Caenorhabditis elegans: one gene and its partners. The protein of the gene in region 3 purifies or fractionates together with the protein of the main gene of each other region. This does not show direct contact. Each region holds a gene or a part of one and is shown on either strand. Other genes may lie near its edges.

The links. Proteins that work in one complex are often made in the same cells at the same time.
Region 1: the proteins of cnp-3 (region 3) and dylt-1 fractionate together in Caenorhabditis elegans (co-fractionation; one large-scale study listed by BioGRID). This does not show direct contact.
Region 2: the proteins of cnp-3 (region 3) and msra-1 fractionate together in Caenorhabditis elegans (co-fractionation; one large-scale study listed by BioGRID). This does not show direct contact.

Annotation. Positions count from the first base shown.
Region 1 is NC_003279.8:7,297,106-7,302,442, forward strand, and holds dylt-1 (DYnein Light chain (Tctex type)), read right to left. Parts: upstream 3,809-5,337; 5' UTR 3,790-3,808; coding exon 3,748-3,789; intron 3,646-3,747; coding exon 3,438-3,645; intron 3,318-3,437; coding exon 3,247-3,317; 3' UTR 2,960-3,246; downstream 1-2,959. Other genes in the region: BAH-4 (Glycosyltransferase family 92 protein F13G3.3), read right to left, coding at 17-176, 221-342, 485-681, 981-1,134, 1,299-1,622, 1,682-1,787, 2,483-2,707, 2,769-2,857; Inositol monophosphatase ttx-7, read right to left, coding at 4,060-4,321, 4,802-4,922, 4,967-5,121, 5,230-5,334.
Region 2 is NC_003280.10:7,360,261-7,365,930, forward strand, and holds msra-1 (peptide-methionine (S)-S-oxide reductase), read right to left. Parts: upstream 3,781-5,670; 5' UTR 3,774-3,780; coding exon 3,525-3,773; intron 3,392-3,524; coding exon 3,017-3,391; 3' UTR 2,960-3,016; downstream 1-2,959. Other genes in the region: insc-1 (Protein inscuteable homologue C-terminal domain-containing protein), read left to right, coding at 327-367, 481-625, 678-792, 845-1,035, 1,083-1,177, 1,223-1,323, 1,372-1,471, 1,523-1,768 and 4 more.
Region 3 is NC_003284.9:17,132,655-17,141,737, reverse strand, and holds cnp-3 (Calcineurin-interacting protein 3), read left to right. Parts: upstream 1-3,627; 5' UTR 3,628-3,630; coding exon 3,631-3,714; intron 3,715-3,765; coding exon 3,766-4,452; intron 4,453-4,570; coding exon 4,571-5,179; intron 5,180-5,232; coding exon 5,233-5,454; 3' UTR 5,455-5,738; downstream 5,739-9,083. Other genes in the region: K09E3.7 (BZIP domain-containing protein), read left to right, coding at 7,246-7,302, 7,352-8,035, 8,227-8,769, 8,820-9,083.

The DNA.
Region 1 (5,337 bases), on a different chromosome or scaffold from region 3:
GCATAATTAAACCAACATCGCATCTTTCTGGACCCGGACACAACATCCCGTGATTTTCATTTGCAGAGTGGAAAGCATAATATGATTGTTTATAACAATCACTGATTAATTTTGAGTATGTCATGTTGATAGGAAGATTACGTAGATGTCGTCTGACTGATGACTTCCAGCTCATTCTGAATTTTGTTTTCAGAACAGCTGATGGATTGATCAATGATACCTGTTAAAGTCCTTTTCAATCATCTTGATGTTCTTATTAGATATCAATGGTTTGTCATTGTCTAGACCAGTTGATGGATTGTATTTGGGTTCCTCTTCATTTTTGGATTTCAATCCGTCTAGCTGAAAAAGGAAGCAGGGTCTTTATGTGGTAATTGCTTTGGATCAAATTATGTGTTATCAATGAGGACTACACTTTGAGAGTGGAGCATCGCCAATCTGGATTTGTTAAAATATACTGAAAAGGGGTTTGTTTTTATGTTACCAATTCAATATGTTTCAGATGGGTTATAGAATTGAATTCAGGCTTCACGGCCAATTTTTTCAGATTTTTCTGTGGCCAATGAATCCACGTATTGTTGATTTTTGAGGGGATTGCAATCATTTTTCCAGTTTCGGTTTGTTGTTCATGTTTTATATTTCGAAGAACATGTTCAATCGAAAAAACATTTGCTCGTTTATCTGAAAAGTTCTGCGTTTATTAATTAATAGAAAGACTTCCAATTGAATCGATTTTTAGTGATTTTCGTTTTTGGTACTCGTCTTTTTGGCAGCCCTTTCAAGATCGTAGAGTTTCGAATATGCAAAAATTATCTATTTTTTAAACAATTGTTTTTAAATTCCAATTTTTAAGTTGGTAATTGACCAAAAGTTTGACTGAAAATTGTGTTAAATTTGAAATCTTTTGAAGTGTTAAACATAAAGAAACCTGACAGTCCGTGAAATATTAATAGTAAAAGATAGTCCAGCAACTAACTCACATGCTTTTATTCTTGTATTTTCTTTTGAATACGTGAAATATGCAACTGTTGGGTGTTCAGAAGCTAGGTATCGAAACTCGCTGGCATAATTGTCAGCTACACGAGGAATAATTAGATCATCTAGATCTACAAATGCTACGAATTCAGAAGATTCCTGGAAATTTATAAAAATGTCGACTTTATTTTTCAGATATTTTTGATTTGTGAAACAAAAAAAGCGACTTTATGTGTAGATGAACAGTTTTTTTAATTGATTGATTTTGACAGATTATTAGGAAGAATAATTTTTAAAGTTATATAACTTTAAACAATCGTTACCTTATATCTCAAAAGACAATCCGTCTGTGCAGCAGCTTGACTTCTAAACTCAACATTTAAATTTGGATTAAAATCTTGTTCATCTCGATTTAAGAGGTTTATCCTATTCCATGGCTTCAAAGTTGCATATCCCTCTTGCTCGTAAACTCTCAAAATTTCGAGCATTGGGGAAACAATGCTCCGAATATACAGATGCATGTGAGCACCGAATATTTTATATACATGAAGAGAAACAAGAAGATTGTGCCAATTTTCAGCAGCGAAGAGTGGAGAAATGCACATTACAACAGGTTTAGGTTCCGAAGAAACAACTTCGAATGGAATCTGATAAAAATGGGATATTATACAATTTTCAAAAAGTAACTGACAGCTCAAAAACTCACCGGCGCATGATTTCCACCTAAAGAAACCAATAAAAGCGACGGATTTAGAACTATTTTTGCAGTTGCAGTCATTGCAATCCATTTACACGCATCATGGATTGTTACTCTGAAGTTTGAGAGATTGAAGAAGTATGCTCCTTCAAAAGAAAATATTAGCAGAACTACATTTGCCTCAAATTTCGTATTTCCAACTCCCGATAATCTTCATGTTTGAATTTTCTCCAAAATGAGAACTGCAAAACCAATAAATTAATCGCTCCGCCCACGTTTGATCCAATCAGCGACTTTGAGATCCGTCTGATTTGTCTTGTAGTTCTCATTTTGGAGGAGAATCAAACAAGGAAGTTGGTGAGTTGTATAAAAATCTCGGATATCTGACGGCCTTATAATTTTTCTTAAATCGACAGATGCATCTGCAGATGGTAGATGACCGAGATTCGCATATTTTCTCGGCCACTCTTCCATTTTCTCGATTTACCATCTACTTTGTATTGTTTTATGTATTTTTCAGAAATAGCCAGAATTGTTTCCAGGTTTGAAAAACATCTATTAGGTACATGGAACTTTTATGCAAAAATTTCAAAAAAAACCAAGGTATTAGATTATTCTGCCTTTAGTTTTGAACGGTTTAATCATAGGAAATAGTTGATTACCGATCCTGCAAAATTTCAGAATAAGCTCCGCCCCTTTCTTGGTTTTTTTTTTGAATTTTTTCATTGAATTTTCAAATCTTATTTAATTGGTGCCGAAAAGCTCAAAAACTTCGAATCAACACAAAAATAAGAAATTAAATACACAAACCTTTCCAATTCAGCAGATGTCATAGCTCGACTCGTGTCATTTATGCCCAAAAGTTCAAGATTTTTAACTTTTTCCAAAACTTCAAAATCAGCAGTCATCAGAATAACCATTGAAGAATCTCCGAGACTTTTTGATTTATTATAATAAAATGCAGAATAAATGAATATATCATAAGGTGCCGAATGAAATACTTCTTCATTTTCAAGATCTGGTGAATCGATTCGACTGGAAATTTATCGTTTCAATCATTTTTGAACGGTGATAATTTTTAACTATCAATACTTACATAAATTGAAGTAAGACTGCCGTTACAAAAAATAAAAACGAAAAAAGTAATACCACAGACAGAACCGATGGAATTATTCGTGGAAGCATTTTGGCTGATCTGACGCACTTGTTTTGTGTCCTAACGCGTCCCGCAAGTTATCTGAACATCTAATCTCGAACTACCTTCAATGAGTGCGACGGTCAAAATGAGGAGTAACAGTTTTCATTAATTTAGCAATAAAATAATAAGGCAAAAAATTTGAAAATCAAAGACAAAACAAATGAATTGAGTGGGGGAAATGATGGAAGATTTTGAATGTGAAGGAGCTGCTCGTCCGGATTTTTTCAGCTCAGTTTTTCTGGACAGGTAATAGGTCTGAATATAAAACATGATAGTGTGTGATGAATGGGGAAGAAAAAAACAATCAGAAATAAGGGGAGAATTGGCGGTAAACGAGGAAAACCAGAGTAGACATATAAGATGAAGCTGTGGATTGTTAAATTGCAATTGCAAAAACATAGACGATTGCAAGCATTGTTTTGGCTTCCCAACGGTACATGTACGAGGCTGAAAATGAGATTTTTTGAGCTATAAGTTGAATACCAACTTTCAAAATCAGAACTTTGTGAGTAATAAATTTATTTCCCTCTTTATTATTTAATGTTTTAATACAAAATGTTAACTCACAATCCGTGACTTTATTCCAGTAGGAAATCGTGCTAACATTGAGACCGGAACCGCTCGAGATCTGAAGGAACGACGAGGTAACCACATATTTGTATGGTTTTCCCGCTGCCACTAGCTTCTTCGTTATTTGTTCGACGGCCTTCTGATTCCACTGAACACTGTCCTTGTGGGTATACTGGGTGCTTGCGCCTACAACCTCGTCGAGTACCTGAAAGATTATTGGATTACGAGAATGTGAATAAACAATAATCAACTCAAAAATTATAGTTTTTCAAAGAATTAATACAGTAGACATATAAAATATCGGTACCTGCTTGATGATCATGTGAACGTCCTCCTCTGCCAAAGCCATGATGTTGAGCTTGTGAGAGCTGAATATTGAGTTTAATTATTAAAAAAGAGACAGTATAAATAAATCAAGTGCGCTCAAACGGCAATTGAAGTATCAGAAATTAAGATATAAACATCTTTAAATAATTTATTCTCATAAAACGAGAATACATACGACTAGAAAATAAAATCAAAAAACTAATATTAAATTGGAAATACAGATAATGCATGTTATGGTAGGAATGTTATGTCACAATATGTGAGTTTTGAAAATAAATAGTTAAATATATATTTAGGCTTCCGGCTCGAAATCGACATGAGTGAGGCATGCAGATAAATCGCGTCCGAGTTCAGCTGTTCCAGCGCAGAGAACTTTTCTTGACATGACGTCAAATGGGGATCCAGTTGGATCAGTGACAACACCTCCGGCTTCTGTGACAATGATAGAAGGAGCAGCAACATCCCAAGCGTGAATCCCGTATTCAACATATCCATCGCAACTTCCTTGTGCAACCATCACCATGTTGATCGCGGCGGAGCCAAACGAACGGTGTCTGAAAAAAAAACTTGGATTTTTTTCAAATAACTTTTATTATGTATAACAATATTAAAAATAATAATATCACATCATCCTCGTGATTTTTTTCATATTAAACTTTGTCCATCCAACATCTAACTTTTCCATCTTATCCATTTCTCAATTTTAGTAAAACTTTCAAAAAATTTGCAAACGCACAGTTCAAGAAAGTCACTAGATTTCGACAAGAATATAAAAAATATTTATAAGTACCCGTGACATTGTTTGTCGAACATAACAGTCTTGTAAGAATCAACAAATGATTTCTGCATAACAGGAGATCGAATTGAGCCAAGTTGAAGTATGAGCACACTTTCCGCAATGACTGGAATTTGCAACGTTTCTATGTGAATGTAAATAAAATTGAAAGTAAAACGTGCAAAACCAGCGCGGGAAGTGTGGAGGTATATTTTTTGTAAAAAAGTAATCAATTTTAGACCAAAAAATTAAAACAAACCCTCGCACACCAGCCATCACTTGATTTCGCATGTTTGACTGGGCAATGTCGAGCCAGCGATCGCCGAACTGAACACGATTATGCAGACCGAGAGATTGACAGAGAACTCCCTTTGAAAGCACTTCAAAAAGCAGGGTGCATGACAAGAAAAGTGCAATTACTTACATTGATTCTTTGATGCTCGGATTGGAAATCCATTTTTGAAAGCTCCCTTTCCGAGTTGAGCGAGATAAAGTTCATTAGTGATTGGATTGTATACGATTCCAGCACGAATTTGTTTTTTGATTGCAAGTCCAACGCAGATTGCGATCATAGGGATTCTATAATAACATAAGAATTTGTTTTTCGAGAAAAATTTGAGTCCAAATTAGAAATTAAATAACGCGATTTGCCATTATTTGAAGAGTCCGATTTAAAAAAAATCTTACCTATGAACAAAGTTAGTAGTTCCATCAATCGGATCAATAATCCATGTTGGTGCATCAGTCCATTCAATTTTCGCACCTCCGGCTACAGATTCCTCGCCAATGAATCTG
Region 2 (5,670 bases), on a different chromosome or scaffold from region 3:
ACACGTCAAATGCCCTTAAATTTTTCAGAAAGAAAGAAACTTGATACCTTGCAAAAATGAAATTATTCTGGATTTTAGGCAGTATCATTTTTTCAATTTTTGCGCAATACAATTTTAACGATTTTTTCTTGAATTCATCTGGACTAGATAGAAAACAATGCAACTTAAAAAAAGGAATCAAGAAACAAAAAGTTGACTCCCAACATAAATTTTATGAACTCTCTTTTCCTTAAACTTTCCCTAGAGCACTGGGAAAACTTGCGGCATAAAAATGCTTTCAAGTTTTGAACATTTCCGTCCTGTTTCTCAAACTCGAGTTTTTATAGAGTCTTGCCCAACGGACACCGAGGATGCAATAATTCGAAATGTGAGTTCACTTTCTTTTATTCCTTCGTTTTTTCTCGTTTTCTATCCCTTCACCACCCCTTAAATTTTATCTTAATTGCTTCGTTGATTGGCAACACATGTTGAACCATTCAGATCAAGTTGCCCGGCTTCCGAGGAAACATTTCACGAGCTCTGAGCCAAAAGAGCAACTCTCCATCTGGTTGTCGAACACCAACTCCTAAAACAGCGCCTCCGTCGTATGAACAGTTTCAGGTTTTGCGACGGAATTCTATGAAATGTGAGTAATTTTTATTTCGTTATCTTTTGCTGGAAAAATTGAATTTTTTCAGCTAGTGTGCAACCACAAAGAAATGGAATTTTGTCTCCGGCCCCACCAGTTCCAACTTCTTCAAGAGCAAACACAATAACTGTTAATGGAGCACATGTTCAACAGGCAATGAACAGGTACTAAATAATTATTTTTAACATTAAAGATAAAATAATTTTGCAATTACAGAATAGACATGAGCACTGACAGCGCAAATACAATTCTCCGATCTCCATACAGTACTCGTTCGGATAGCATCACAAGTGTCGACTCTGGACAATGTTCCGGAGATCAAATCGAACGAAGATCAAATTGTTCAACTCGACAAGAAAGTAAAGATGATGATGATACAGGGATGCCAAGCTATGCGAGAATGGCTAGTCAGTAGTCATTATTTGGAAATTGAATTTTTAAAGAGAAAATTCAGGTACAATGGATCATGTTCTCAGAACATCATCTGCTTTGTATACTCTTCTTTCTTCAGCTCTGGATCCAGCAACTTGCAGAGATTTGTTGGCAAAGGTATTTTGTGCATACTGAATTAAGTTACAAAAGTTAATATTTAAGTCTTCTGTGTTCATCCAACTGCTTGAATCATCTCCATGTACAAATTATCTTCCAAAGACTGAAATGGCTCGATTAAAAATGAATGTTCAAGAGTTACAAAAGTAAATCTATTATTGAAACAAATTAAATGTTACCTTACGTTTTTCCAGAAATCGAGATAAAGGAATAATTGACATGAATAATATGACAAACTTTTTTGCGATTCTTCTCAGAAAGTCTATAGAATCAGTACTTTTGGTGTTTGTGAGGGTAAGTTACTTTTAGTTTAACTATTCAATTCATTCAAATATTTAATTTCAGATAATATCCAAGAATCTATGTGAAAGTAATGGAAAAGATCGTCTGACACCTATTTGTTTAGAGCATCTTATTCATATTTGTTTATTTGGAGATGAACTTTGTATTGAAGCAATTCAAAAAGGATGCATCTCATCAGTTATTCGAATTATGAAGAATGATCAACCACAGGAGAACACTCTTAGATTTTTACTTCGAACATTGGCAGTGTTATGTGGAGTTTCAAAAGGAGCACTTGCTTTGCTCACGGTAATTAGATATATTTTATAATCAATACTTTTCAATACAAATTCAATACAAATTCAATCAATACAAATTGATTAATTTCAGCAAGGAGGCTTGGATTTGGTTATTGATAGACTTTTATCCATTTCCTCATCAATCTGTTCCGTCGAGGCAGCTGGTATTCTGACACAACTTACCAATCCTCAGTCTGCATTCATTCGGTTAAATCATGTGGAACCAATTATATCCAGACTTTTGGGTAACCAATTTAAATATAAAAATTGGAGACTAAATAATTAATTTCAGATCTAATAGATCAATGTAAATCAGGTGACTCTTTGCTTTTGGCAACCGCTGCATTGAACAATGTGACACTTCAGAACCCAAATGGAGTTGATATTATGTACAGGTTTGTTGAATTTTAAGCATTTAACTATTTTCGCAAAAGCTCAGTACAAAATTAAATTTGAACCAACATTAAATTGAGCTATAGCACGTAATTGTAGAAAATGAATGCAAAATTTCAAGGCGAATTCCTTGTTCTAACTTTTGTAGCAATTGCTACAAGTTACCTAGAAACTACAAAACGGTAAACCAGCCTACCAGATAAAACTGAAAACAGTCTCGAATTTAAAAAAAAATCTGAAAATTTATAGGATCGCTCTCTATTTTGGGATTTTGAAAAGTTTTTTGCAACATGTAAATGTAAATATTTTCAGAAATAATTCAATTCGTCGTCTGATATCTGCTTATAATCGAGAAAATTGTGCCACTGTCTTCGTCCAGGAACAAATTGTTACAGCCTTTTCTCGCCTTGCCGCCCGTCATTTAGATCATCAAATGGTTGATCAAAATGCAATTCCAGTGCTTCTTGAATTTTTATCCCTTACCCATCCAATCCATGCGGATTACTGTAGAAGGATACGGTACAAAGCTGCTGTATGTATTGGTACTTTAGCTAACAGTGAAATTGGGCTCAAAGCCTTGTATGGTAATAATGGTGAGATTTTCAGAATTATTCAACGTTTCATATATGTTCAAGTTACAGCCTACGCAATTTTGAGCAATGTGCTTTATGATGACAACAACTCTTCAAATCCATTTAATATGATATGCAACAATATTCGCACAAAGTTGGAATCTAAATACCAATCTGAAAGTGCAGTATAATATTCAAATATCTTCCTTTGTTAAACAAACAAACACAAGAATCTGTGATAAAATAAAATTCATTGAAAACCTGATAAAAGTTCGATTGTACATTCATATAATTTAAGCATGACAGTTTCTTGGATCTCCTCCTGACAGAGCATAGTCCTTCACCTTATTGACAAAAGAATCCTTTAATCCGTACTCTTTTGCAAGACGCTCAAGATCGTGGAAGTCCTGGAAGCCAGCACAATATGCGTTCAATTTTGTGGCAAGTTCTCCTTCAGCAACTTGAGTATCAAGAAGAGACAGTTCATCGAAAAGAATCTTCTTTTGACGGAACCAATATTTTTGATGGTAATCTTCAGCTTGATAGAACTTGTCCAATGGCTCAATATATGTTTCAATGTCTCCATGCTTGTCCTTTGCTACTTTCAAAGTTTCTTCAGCGACTTTCTTTTGGTCGTCATTTACGTAGAGAATCGCAGATTGGTATTGCTGAAATTGAAACGAATTAATTTGAAGTTTAAATGTATTTTAACCTAAAAAATTATAATCAATTAGAACTTACTTTTTGTTACGTTTTCCAGTAGAACAATATTTGAAACTTTAAAGTCAATTCGAAAATTACCTTCTTTCTCCTTTCAGCTGGGTTGTGATGCTTCCAAAAGAAGTTGGTGAGCTTTGAGTATTCAATAACTTTTGGATCAAAAGTGATCTCTGTGATTTCAGTATGATCCTTGATATTCTTATAAGTAGGATTTGGTTGTTTTCCTCCAGCATATCCAACTCGTGTCACCACAACTCCTTTCAGCTTCGCCCATGCAGATTCTCCCCAGAAGCACTGAAGACCAAAATAGGCACGCTCCAAATAAGCCATGTTTCACCTGAAATTATATCGGATTGAAAAAGGTTTTGAGTTTATAAAGGAATTAAAAAATTAGTAAACAATGTAAAAACGTATGTTTCACAGTCAATTTATATACAAATCGGGGCGGAATCAAAATGTGATTCCTGTAAATTTTGCGATTACATCAGAAAGAGGAAAGAGACGCAGAGGGAATCGATGAAGAAGACAAGTAGAAAAGAAAACATACAATGTTAGACGCAGGCATATAGACACGACATGCTTTATCATCATTCTGCCAGCAGTGGTAGACGAAGAAAAAGCAGATGGCCAGTCAGAAATGATGACATAGATCGCTTTTTGGTAAAGATGTTTCTTTTGATGATATTGAGTACACGTTGGGTTCAATGGACAATAACTGAGCTTTTCCATGAACTTTCTTTTGATCAAAATAGTTTCTAATTTTAGGCCCTGTATTTTTCGTTAGAAATTGCAAAATGTTCAATGTACAAATGAATAAGTTATACCTAGTTGACGGAGCTCTTTCACTTGTGAGAACATTGAACTTTTCCTCGTCTTACAACAATCGTTTTTTTTTGTTTATTCGATTAGCTAAAAAACAATTAATCAAAAAACTATGAAAAATAAATGAAATTTCCGAAAGTTTGAACCTACAGTACTCATTAAAGGCGCACGCCTGTTCGTATTGTACAAAAATCTGTCGTGTCAAGACCGGGGTTGGCTCAAAAACCCTAAAACCTCGTGTCTGGTTAATAAAGGATATTTCCAGAAAAAAAGTGAAATGGAAACCTAAGTTATTTCTGAACTATTAAAATATAGTGTGCTCTTGGATCTTGATAATTTACTATGACTTCAGCAGCTTTATCTAATTCCATGTCTTCTTGTTTTCGCAATGTATTTTGTATTTCACGGATGGAACGTTGACGAAGATAATCTAGATTCGCTAGTTCAGCAGTTATATCATCAAGAACTTGCATTGCTGCAGCAAATGTTCAATGCACAAATGAATAAGTTATACCTATTTGACGGAATTCGTTCACTTGTGAGGATGGTAGTGGGGGTGGAGTAAGACTGGCTCAGTCTGAACGTTTTGACCTACTTGCAAGTTAGTTTTGAAGCTCAAAAATAATGTTGTTTTTACAGACAGTCATTTGGACTACAAATCCACTGTGACACCTGCTCAGACAAACGCTTAGTCGTCTAATTAGATTTCAACCGTATTCAACGAGATTTCAACCATATTTGTTTAGAAAATCCATATTGCATTATATTTGCTCCATATTAGATTAGAAATCCATGCTAGATTAGATTTCCTCCATATTTCATTAGAAAACAAATCTAATCCAATATGGTCGAAATCTAATTAGACTACTAAGCGTTTTTCTGAGTGTGCCCACAGTACATCACTATTGTTTTATTGAACCGTTGTAGAAGTATACTATAATTTTCTACAATTCAATAGTTAGGCAATACAACATTCTAAATTCTCATTAAAATAATACTTGCCAGCAAAAGTTGCAAGCCCAGGCTCGGTTTACCAAATAACTTCTTGAACTCACGAAATTGCGTATCTTCAAACTGGCGTATCTTGAAAAATAAACATCCAGGAAACAAATGTTCAACTAACAAAATGATTAGAAATATTTTTTATTTTTTCTGCATTACTTTTCAGTGCAAAATACCAATTATTTGTTACACAGAGTCATTTTACCAAAAACCACTAAAAATTTTGTCGATTGAGTTTCAGAAGTAAAATGTTAATGAATAATAATTGCAAGATATAAACTGATAAAATGTGGAAAAATATCTTGCAATTATTATTTATTAATGGGGTTATTCAAGTAATGTAGCAAAATGTATTTAAATACATTTGTGACGTCACTAATGTATTTAAATACATGTTTTTATA
Region 3 (9,083 bases):
TCTTTGATAGCTTTTTTTAAAAATCTCTAGAAGATTTTGTTTCTAGATCATTTTTTAATAGAAAATTTCATCACTATAAGTTTCCCAATAAACTGTAAGAGGTTTCTGGCGAAGGGGGGGGGGGGGGGGGGGGTGACAAATATACTTCTGGGCGGACTGACAAAAATATATGGTGATTCGCCAAACGTGATTACAAAAAGTTTCAAAAAGCGTTCCAGTTATTTTCCGACTTTGCTTTCAAGTGTGCTTTTAAAAATAATTATTGTAATTTCCAGACCATCTTTTTTTCTTCTTTGCAACTCTGTTCAAATTCCACGTTGTATCCAAAAAGTTTTGAAAGAATCTACCAATGTATATAAACTCCCTTTTTTTTCTTTGATAGCTTTTTTTAAAAATCTCTAGAAGATTTTGTTTCTAGATCATTTTTTAATAGGAAATTTCATCACTATAAGTTTCCCAATAAACTGTAAGAGGTTTCTGGCGAAGGGGGGGGGGGGGGGGGGGTGACAAATATACTTCTGGGCGGACTGACAAAAATATATGGTGATTCGCCAAACGTGATTACAAAAAGTTTCAAAAAGCGTTCCAGTTATTTTCCGACTTTGCTTTCAAGTGTGCTTTTAAAAATAATTATTGTAATTTCCAGACCATCTTTTTTTCTTCTTTGCAACTCTGTTCAAATTCCACGTTGTATCCAAAAAAAATGCATTCAAAAACCGAATTCTCCAAATCTCCCATATAAATATTCATGAATCAAAACTGTATAGCTGCTCGGTTCGTTTTGTTGAAATTTGTTTTTTTTTTTCGAAACTACGAAATACCAGTTTGATTTCTTTTTTCATACAAAAAGTAAAATTTTTCTAATGTCTATCAAGCACTCCGATAAAAATTTCATATGTACTGATAACAACGTGGTGTGGCCATTTCGGAGATTTCCAAGAAATTTAAAATTTGCTGACTCTAAATAGATGATAATTTTTGCAAAAATTTCTTAGCTGTTGTCTGATCGGTCAACAGTGTGTGCAGCAAAGATGGTAATGCGAATTCGAAAAGAAAGTTTATCAAAACTCATTAATTTACCGTACTGCGTAAACGTGTTTGTTGAATTTCCTGATATGATGTAAACAAGTACCTAATTGCTTACTATGAAACAGTACGCCGTAGAAAATTCTAGAAGTTTTGATGTGATATTTCAAAACACATGCTTATAAATAGTGTCCACATGAATATCATATGTTAGTTTTTATACCAGCATGATTTCCACGTTTTGATAATTTAAAGGGCGACTCTTTGCCTAATGAGTAAGCTTATAGAATATGTCCAGAACTCCTAAACCTAGGTGTGACTCCCAATGACTCAAAAAATTTACAGATAATGTTGTACTTTTTATTCGAAACTTTCTAATTGATGTCAGTCAGTTTTACTGCAGTGATATTTTTGAATGAGCGCAGTTGTTCAGCTTCGGTTGGCAACGTTACAGTAAGGTCCTTAGGCCAACTGTAACAAGAGTAGTAGTCAATGTTTTTTTTGGCTAATACGGTTACTCCAAATGTCAATTCAACTGAATTTCAAAAAATATTGAGGAAGTGGTACTATAGAGGTACTGTGAGACTTTTTACAAAATTATCAGTATATCAAAACAATAACTTTGTAACTCGACTTTTTTCTATTAATTTGGATAAACGGATCTAGAAAAGTGAACAAAAATATTGTCAGTTTATGGTTTAGTCTCAACGTCTAGATGAGCTATACATAGTACTTCAGTAATATTACATGGCTAGAATTAGTCTGACAATCTTTATTAGTGACCCTTTTCCAACATTAGAATTCTTTAAAGTTCCCTGTTTTATTGAGAATTTGAAAAACTCACACTTTTTCGCAAGTTTGCATAAAATTTCAAACAGTCCTAACGGAAAAATACAGTAATTTTCAACTGGGAACTAATTTTGAACAGGTGCTAGTTTTTGAATTTCCTCTGTTAACGTAACACAATCTACCTGCACTTCAAATAAAATAAAGTGTAGTAGTATTGCAATGATTAAAGTACAATTGGACTTTTGCACTTGTGGTGTTAAAAAAATTTATCTGGCACACCGTACATAACGGCAGTCTAGAAATTTCGACACCATTTGCGTGACATTAACGTCACATGATCATTGCTCACCTGTTTGGGAAACTACCGCATGCGGAGCAATCGATCCGCCTTTTTCCAATTTGGTACCTTTCCCAGAAAGTGTCCCGCCCATTTACAGAAGCGTTTTTTCTCTGGAATGTTCATTGTTCGTTGCTAATTTAATAAATGTCTTTCAATGCCTCACTATAGGCTCATCTTATCTTTTTTTTTCTTCTTATCACCCAGTTGGCAAACATTCAACTAATATAGTTCGTAACTCCAACACCACCACCCATTACGTTTCTCAATTTAACATTTTAGTATTTTCCATGCCCAAGTTTGAGCTGTCGGCACAGTCGTTATTGAGACAAAGGGAAAGTCCCATGAACTTTTAGAAAGACTCAATGCCGCAAAGAACTTTCACTTTTTTTTTGTCTGTCTTGTATATGTAAATGTTACAAGAACCACAAAAGAAACCATAACTGACCTCCTATTCTTCCCGTGTGCAAGAATTTGATGCGAACACTGCTGATTTTATGACGCGTTGACCTACATACTCTCTCTTTCCTTGCAATACAACGCTTACATTGCAACAGTTTTATCGGTTTTTGTTGTCACTTTTGTTTTGGTGTTTTGCTTGTTTTGCTTGTTTTTTTCTAGTTGTCTTAAACGTCAACGTCAAATGGAGTTAGTTTTCCTAATTTTTCAAAATATTTTTTTGTTCTAACTAAGAGGCTAGTTTTTTCTTGAAGTTTACTATTAGTCAATATATTAACATTGATCAATTTGGTTACAAATAATTTGAGAAATCAATTTTTAATAAGTAGTTGTGACATATGATAGTAGTTTGTTTTGAATTTCAAAAAAAAACCAAAAATGAGCAATTTACATTTTTTCAGAAAACTAAAAACTGTTTTCTTACGAAGTTAAAATTTCCTATGACAGTATGTATACTAAAGTAACGTGAAAGAGCCAAGTTTTAATAGTTCAAAATCAATTCGCTAAAAAAAATTACCTTTTGAGCTCAAAATAAAAAACAGAAGTCTCGAAAAAATAAAGTTGAAAAAAATACTAAAACAACATTTTCAAACGTCACTTAAAAATTAAACAGTAAAATTTCCCCAATCACAATTATCAATCAGATCAATAAAACAAGTTTCCATTATCTTCTCTCTATCTCTTTGTTTTCGACTTGTGACTGTCACTCTCTCAGCGTGGGCGTTGACTGATTCACCAACTGACCGTTACGCATGTGACAATGACAATTCCCCAAATTGCGAAATGACATTTGTCAGACCGTCACGTCATCACTTTCATCCGATTTGTCATGTTGTGTTCGGTCGAGACAACACCCCGAATTGATTGATAAAATAATTGTATTTATATAGGCAATCTTATCACATTTTATCCCATTGCTGACCTTAGATTTCTTGACGTTTCTTCTCCACTTTTTTTTTGACAATTTCTCTTACTCTCTTCGTAGTGACTTAGTGATTCTAAATTTCAATTTTCAGAGAATGCGCTCCCTAAAACGCGAAAACTCAGGTTCCGCCTTATCCGTCAGAAGCTCAGATTCCGAAGGTGATAGTTACCATAACATGGTTAGTTGTTCTTTTTTACAAGTGTACTTAAGTATATCTAAATTTTTTCAGGACATTAAAAAATTAACTAATAAAGTTAAAGAAATTGACATTTCCGCCTTCGACCGCACAAGACTTTTCAACCCAAGAAAGCAAAGATCTTGTCACAAAAGAGCTGAACCAGTGTCAGAAGAGCACCGGAAAAAGGAGAGCAGCAAAAACTCCAGGGAGTATACCAAGAGGAATCGTGATGAAATTGTCACGTGTCAAAAGCTGTTTTCTGAAATCACAGCCATTATGCGGAGGTTCAAACAATTGACCGAGGAGATGTCAGTGGAAACAGTGGAAGTTAAGATTAAATCCATGATCAAAGACTGTCAAGAGATGCTAACAAAGTACACGAATTTGGATTCAAACGACAGATTTAATATTGGAATTCCCGAGGCTGAAGATTTTTTGGCAATTTTCCGCGAGAAAGCGCATGCAACGATGCTTTTCGAGCATCGACCAGAGTCTCCGAATATGTACACCGAAAATCTATTTAAACTACGCGAGCAATATCACAAGCTCACAGACCACAAGGACAATTTGAATTCTTCAAAGGACAAAACCAATTACGCGTCGTCAAAAAGCAGATTAAATCAGAGAATTGTGAGGGAACAGTTGAAAAGTGACTGCTGGGTATGTTGGAAGAGCATTAACACAATGATGGTCCAAGGAGAGCAACTTCAGGAGTACAACAACGAGCTGAAGAAAGATGTAAGTCTAACTTGTTAGGTGTTCGTAAACCGAGGTTTTTCCTGTGCAAAGAACACTATTGTTTACGAGTTGTTATCTTTAGAATGAGTAGAACTTTCTAAAAAATTTGTACTTTCAGATATGGAACAACATCTTAGCTGTCTACCACCAGATTTTCACCATGTTCTGTAAATATCCAGAATATGCAGACAAGGAAAAAATGGAAAGAATTGTGGAATATTTTGCTCCAGTTTCGAGAACACCAGGGCACCTATCTGTTGTCTGGAATCCAATGCCAAATGTTGTCAAGTCTCCACGGTCAGAAGAAATTCCAGAAATCAAAGTCGAATATGAAGAAGTTCCATCGTCATCTACCTTCTTATCTAACAACGAAACAACAATCGCAAGTGACATGGATATGTCGATTGATCGACCGCAAAGTATGGACATGTCGCAAACGCTTTCTCCAGAGCAAACGCTTTCTCCTAGAGAGAAGCTTCAAGTGCAAGATAGAAAGATCTCAACGACTCAAGAAACTCCTCCGGCGCTGCCATCACCATCCGGAACACTCACACTCCCAACAGTTCCAGCTTCGACATTAAAACGTAAAGAATTTGGTGACTTGTTGGCCTGTCCAACCGGCAAACGTGTAACTATTGATGAACCCAATCGAGCAGAGCGCACTGAGACAATTATGCCATCTAGACAAATGATGTACCCAATGGTGAATTACCAAGCACTTCCAATGGTAAGTTTTTTTTGAGAAAATGTTCGTCCATTTCAAAAACTTCTATATTTCAGCCACCACAATCAATTCCATCAATGATTCCCCCATTCATCCCTACGATTCCTTCGACGAGCACAATGCCTCCAATGATGCCGTATCCAAATGTTCTACTCACTGCTGCTCCGGGAGACGTTGCCCCAATCGATTCACTCACCCCATCATTTTTGAGAGCATTAGAGCAGCAAAAACTAATGGCAGCATTTTTAAATCACGCTTTTCAAAAATGTCAGAAGTAATTAAATTATTAAATGAACATTCATTGTTCTAACGCAATCTTAATAAAAACCGTATGCTTTCACAATTAGTTCAGGGTACTGTAGGACTGTCAACTGATAATTTTATAATCAATTTGTTTCTAGGGACTTACTCATTTAAATAATCGATTCATATATTGACTATCAACATTACCGGGCTCAGAAAATTTGAATTTTCTATGTTTTCTTTGTTTTCTACTTTATTGATTCTGTTCTGTTTTCACTTAACTCACATTTGAATTTCACAAATAAAAAGTTCAACAACGGAGTGTTCTTAAGGACACAGTTTATAAAAACGCGTGATTCCCCTCAACACTTTTATCTATTTCTGATGCTACAGTCGTCTTTGGTTTTTGGAGAATTGCCAGCAAGTCTAGAACATGTGGAATGGGGGAATAACTGACTTTTTGAACATGGAGTAGTGCAAAAATTAGCAGTGAAAACTTGCTTACCGTATACTATTTTAAATGAAAACGCATTGAAGAAATTTAAAATATAAATTTTATACGGTCATCGTAATTACAGATTAATGAACGGTGTTTTCTCACTTTTCACAAAAACCTGTTAGTCTTCTATAGGGAGTGGAAGTTTTTTTATTTTCCTCTCAATAGGGAATACCGTATGCTGTGAAAAGAAATATAGAATGAGTGATCCATTTTCTGAACGCTTATCAATTGGAAATTCCGAATTTTAAATAAAATGTTGCTCAATTTACTTTCGAGACAATTATTCTTGAATTAAAACTATATTTTGCGGAATAAAGTTGGCTTTGAAGTTACCTATCTTTGTGAAATTTAATTTTAGATAGGTCAAACTGTTTAATCGGACGAAATAATCACCAATGTATTTTTTACATTTTCCAGTTAGTGACGGTTCAGTAAAGCTCATTTCCACGGGATCGGAAAGTTTCAGAAACAACGCCTTTTTGCAAACATTAGCTTTTAAACATAAGTGTCTCAAAACTAAATTGGGCAGGTTTTTTTTCACAAACGCATCTAGAAAAATATCATTTCATATCTCTGGACACTAAAATTTTTTATCAGACAAGAGAAGGATTTACGGAGAACACTTCACTGCAAAAAATGTGAACTTTTGTTTCATCTCGTTTAATTTTAATCTGAAAATTTCCTGTGTGTTTTGCCATGCGTGTGAGGTCTTTAAAAATACCTTAAAACTGTTTTTTTTATGATTCTAATGGCTTGTGCGGATCAGTAAAATCTGAAAGTATTTTGGAGTTATTTTGGGAAGAGGTTTAGCTCCTGTCCTGAGCAACAAAGGAGATCTTTGACCAAATTACTGCCGTCAACTTTTTTGCCTACCTCTTATTTTCAGTTGCCGTCCTTTCCGCCCTGTCCATAAGACAGTGCCCTCCGCACACCGCGGTAAAATAATTTAATATCGCGCGCTACGCCTCCCGTTTCCTCACACTCTCTCGCTTATCCCATTGCAATTCTAGAAGACTGTTGTTGTTGACAGCGGCGGTGTTTCGCGCATTCTATGGTCCATGCCATTTCACGCGTTTGACAGTGATTTTATTGTCTTTATAACTGCGTTCGGTGAGTGAGAATATGCTTCCGTTCTTGCAAATCATTTTGAAACTTTTTGTTGGGCTCTTGTTCTATAATATTTTGATATGATGCTATTCGAATGTTTTTTTTTGAAGTGCGATTGTTCTTGCCGCATAATTAATTCTTTGTTTTTTACTTCAAATTGTTGACCAACACAACAAACGAATTTCAGTTTTAATATTCAAACTTGGAAAGTGAATAGCAAATGGATCTCTTATCCGTGAGAAATTCTGAACCTGACAATGAAAGTTATCATTTATTGGTTAGTTTGTTTTCTTTAAGCTTCTGAATTGTCAAACTATCATTTTCAGAATATGAAAGGTTTGGCAGAAAAAGTTAAAAAGATCGACATATCTATCTTTGACCGCAGGAGCTTGTTAAAGCGTGTAAAACATAGATCTTGTCATAAAAGAGCCGAGCCAGAGTCCGAAGAAAACCGCAAAAAGAGGTACAGGAAGGACTGCAAAGAGTATAGAGAAAGGAATCGTGAATATGCCACTTTCCAAAAACTATTCTTCAAAATAACAGCGATTGAACGGAGATTCAAGCAATTTATCGAGGAGATGTCCGTGGAAACAGTGGAAGTGAATATTAGATCCATGATCAAAGAGTGTGAAGACATTTGTTCCAAGTACACAAATATCGATGCGCCTCACAAAATTCATTGTGAAATTCCACATGTTGATGATTTTTTGGCATGTTTCCAAGAAAAAGGCCAAGCCGCCATGCTCGTCGACCACCATACAGAGCCTTCCAATTTTTACGCCCAAAATCTGCTTAAACTACGCGAGCAATATCACAAGCTCACAAGCCAAAAGGACAATATGAATTCTTCAAAGGAAAAAACCCGTTATGCATCGTCAAAGCTCGAGTTGAATCGCAGAATTGTACGGGAGCAATTGAAAAGTGATTGCTGGGTATGTTGGCAGAGCATTAATACAATGATGGTCCAAGGAGAACAGCTTCAGGAGTACATCAACGAACGGAAGAAATATGTAAGTTAAAACATGAATTAGGACAACTATGTAGAGCATATGTTGCTAAGTTTTCGCAAAAATTGACCCCAACACTTTATAGCAAATTTTTGGTAAAAGATTAGGTTTTCTACCTTATTTTATTTTCAAAACAATGATAAACTTTTACATTCCTCAAATAAAACTGCAACAGAAGCGTGTTATTTTTTCAGATTTGGAACAAAATCGTAGCAATCCATCACCTGCTTTTCATCACCTTTTCTCAACACGCAGCAGATGCAGACAAGGAAAAAATGAAAAGAATTGTGGTATACTTCGCGCCCGACTCACAAATACCACGTCTACTTTCTGCTGCCTGGATTTCGTTGTTGAAAAGTGCCGATTTTCCTTGGACAGAAGATATTCCAGAAATCGAGTTAGATTGTGAAGACACTTCCTTGTCGTTTTCCTTCTTAACTAACAGAAAAACAACTATCGCAAGTGAGATGGATGCATCGATTGATCGACCGCAAAGTGTGGACATGTTAACAACTTGTTCGCCAGAGTTCAAAGAAAAACTTCAAGTAGAGGATGTGAAGGCTCTCACTACTCATGCAACACCTACCGCCTTGCCGTCTCCATATATCACACTGACACGTCAAACAGTTCCAGCTTCAACTCTAGATCAAAAAGGAACAAATGATACCTTCAACTCTTCAAACAGAAAGCGTGCGGGATTCTCTATTGATGAACTTCTGCGACCAGATTCCACAATAGTAAATTTTTTGAAAAAAAAAACTATCGATTTGGAAAACTCTTTTTTTAGCCCACACAATCAACTCCATCAACAATACCGGCTTTCATTTCTACAACTCCTTTGGCGAGCACAGTGCCTCCAACAATGTCGTTCCCAAGTATTCCACACATTGCTACTTTGGGAAACGTTGCTCCAATCAATTCACTTACTTCGTCATTGAGAGCAATAGATCACCAAAGAGAAATTCCTGCCTCAACTTTAAAACGGAGATCCGTTTCTGATAGGATGAACGGATTGCCATGCAAGCGTAGAAATCTTCCAAATAGTGTGCCA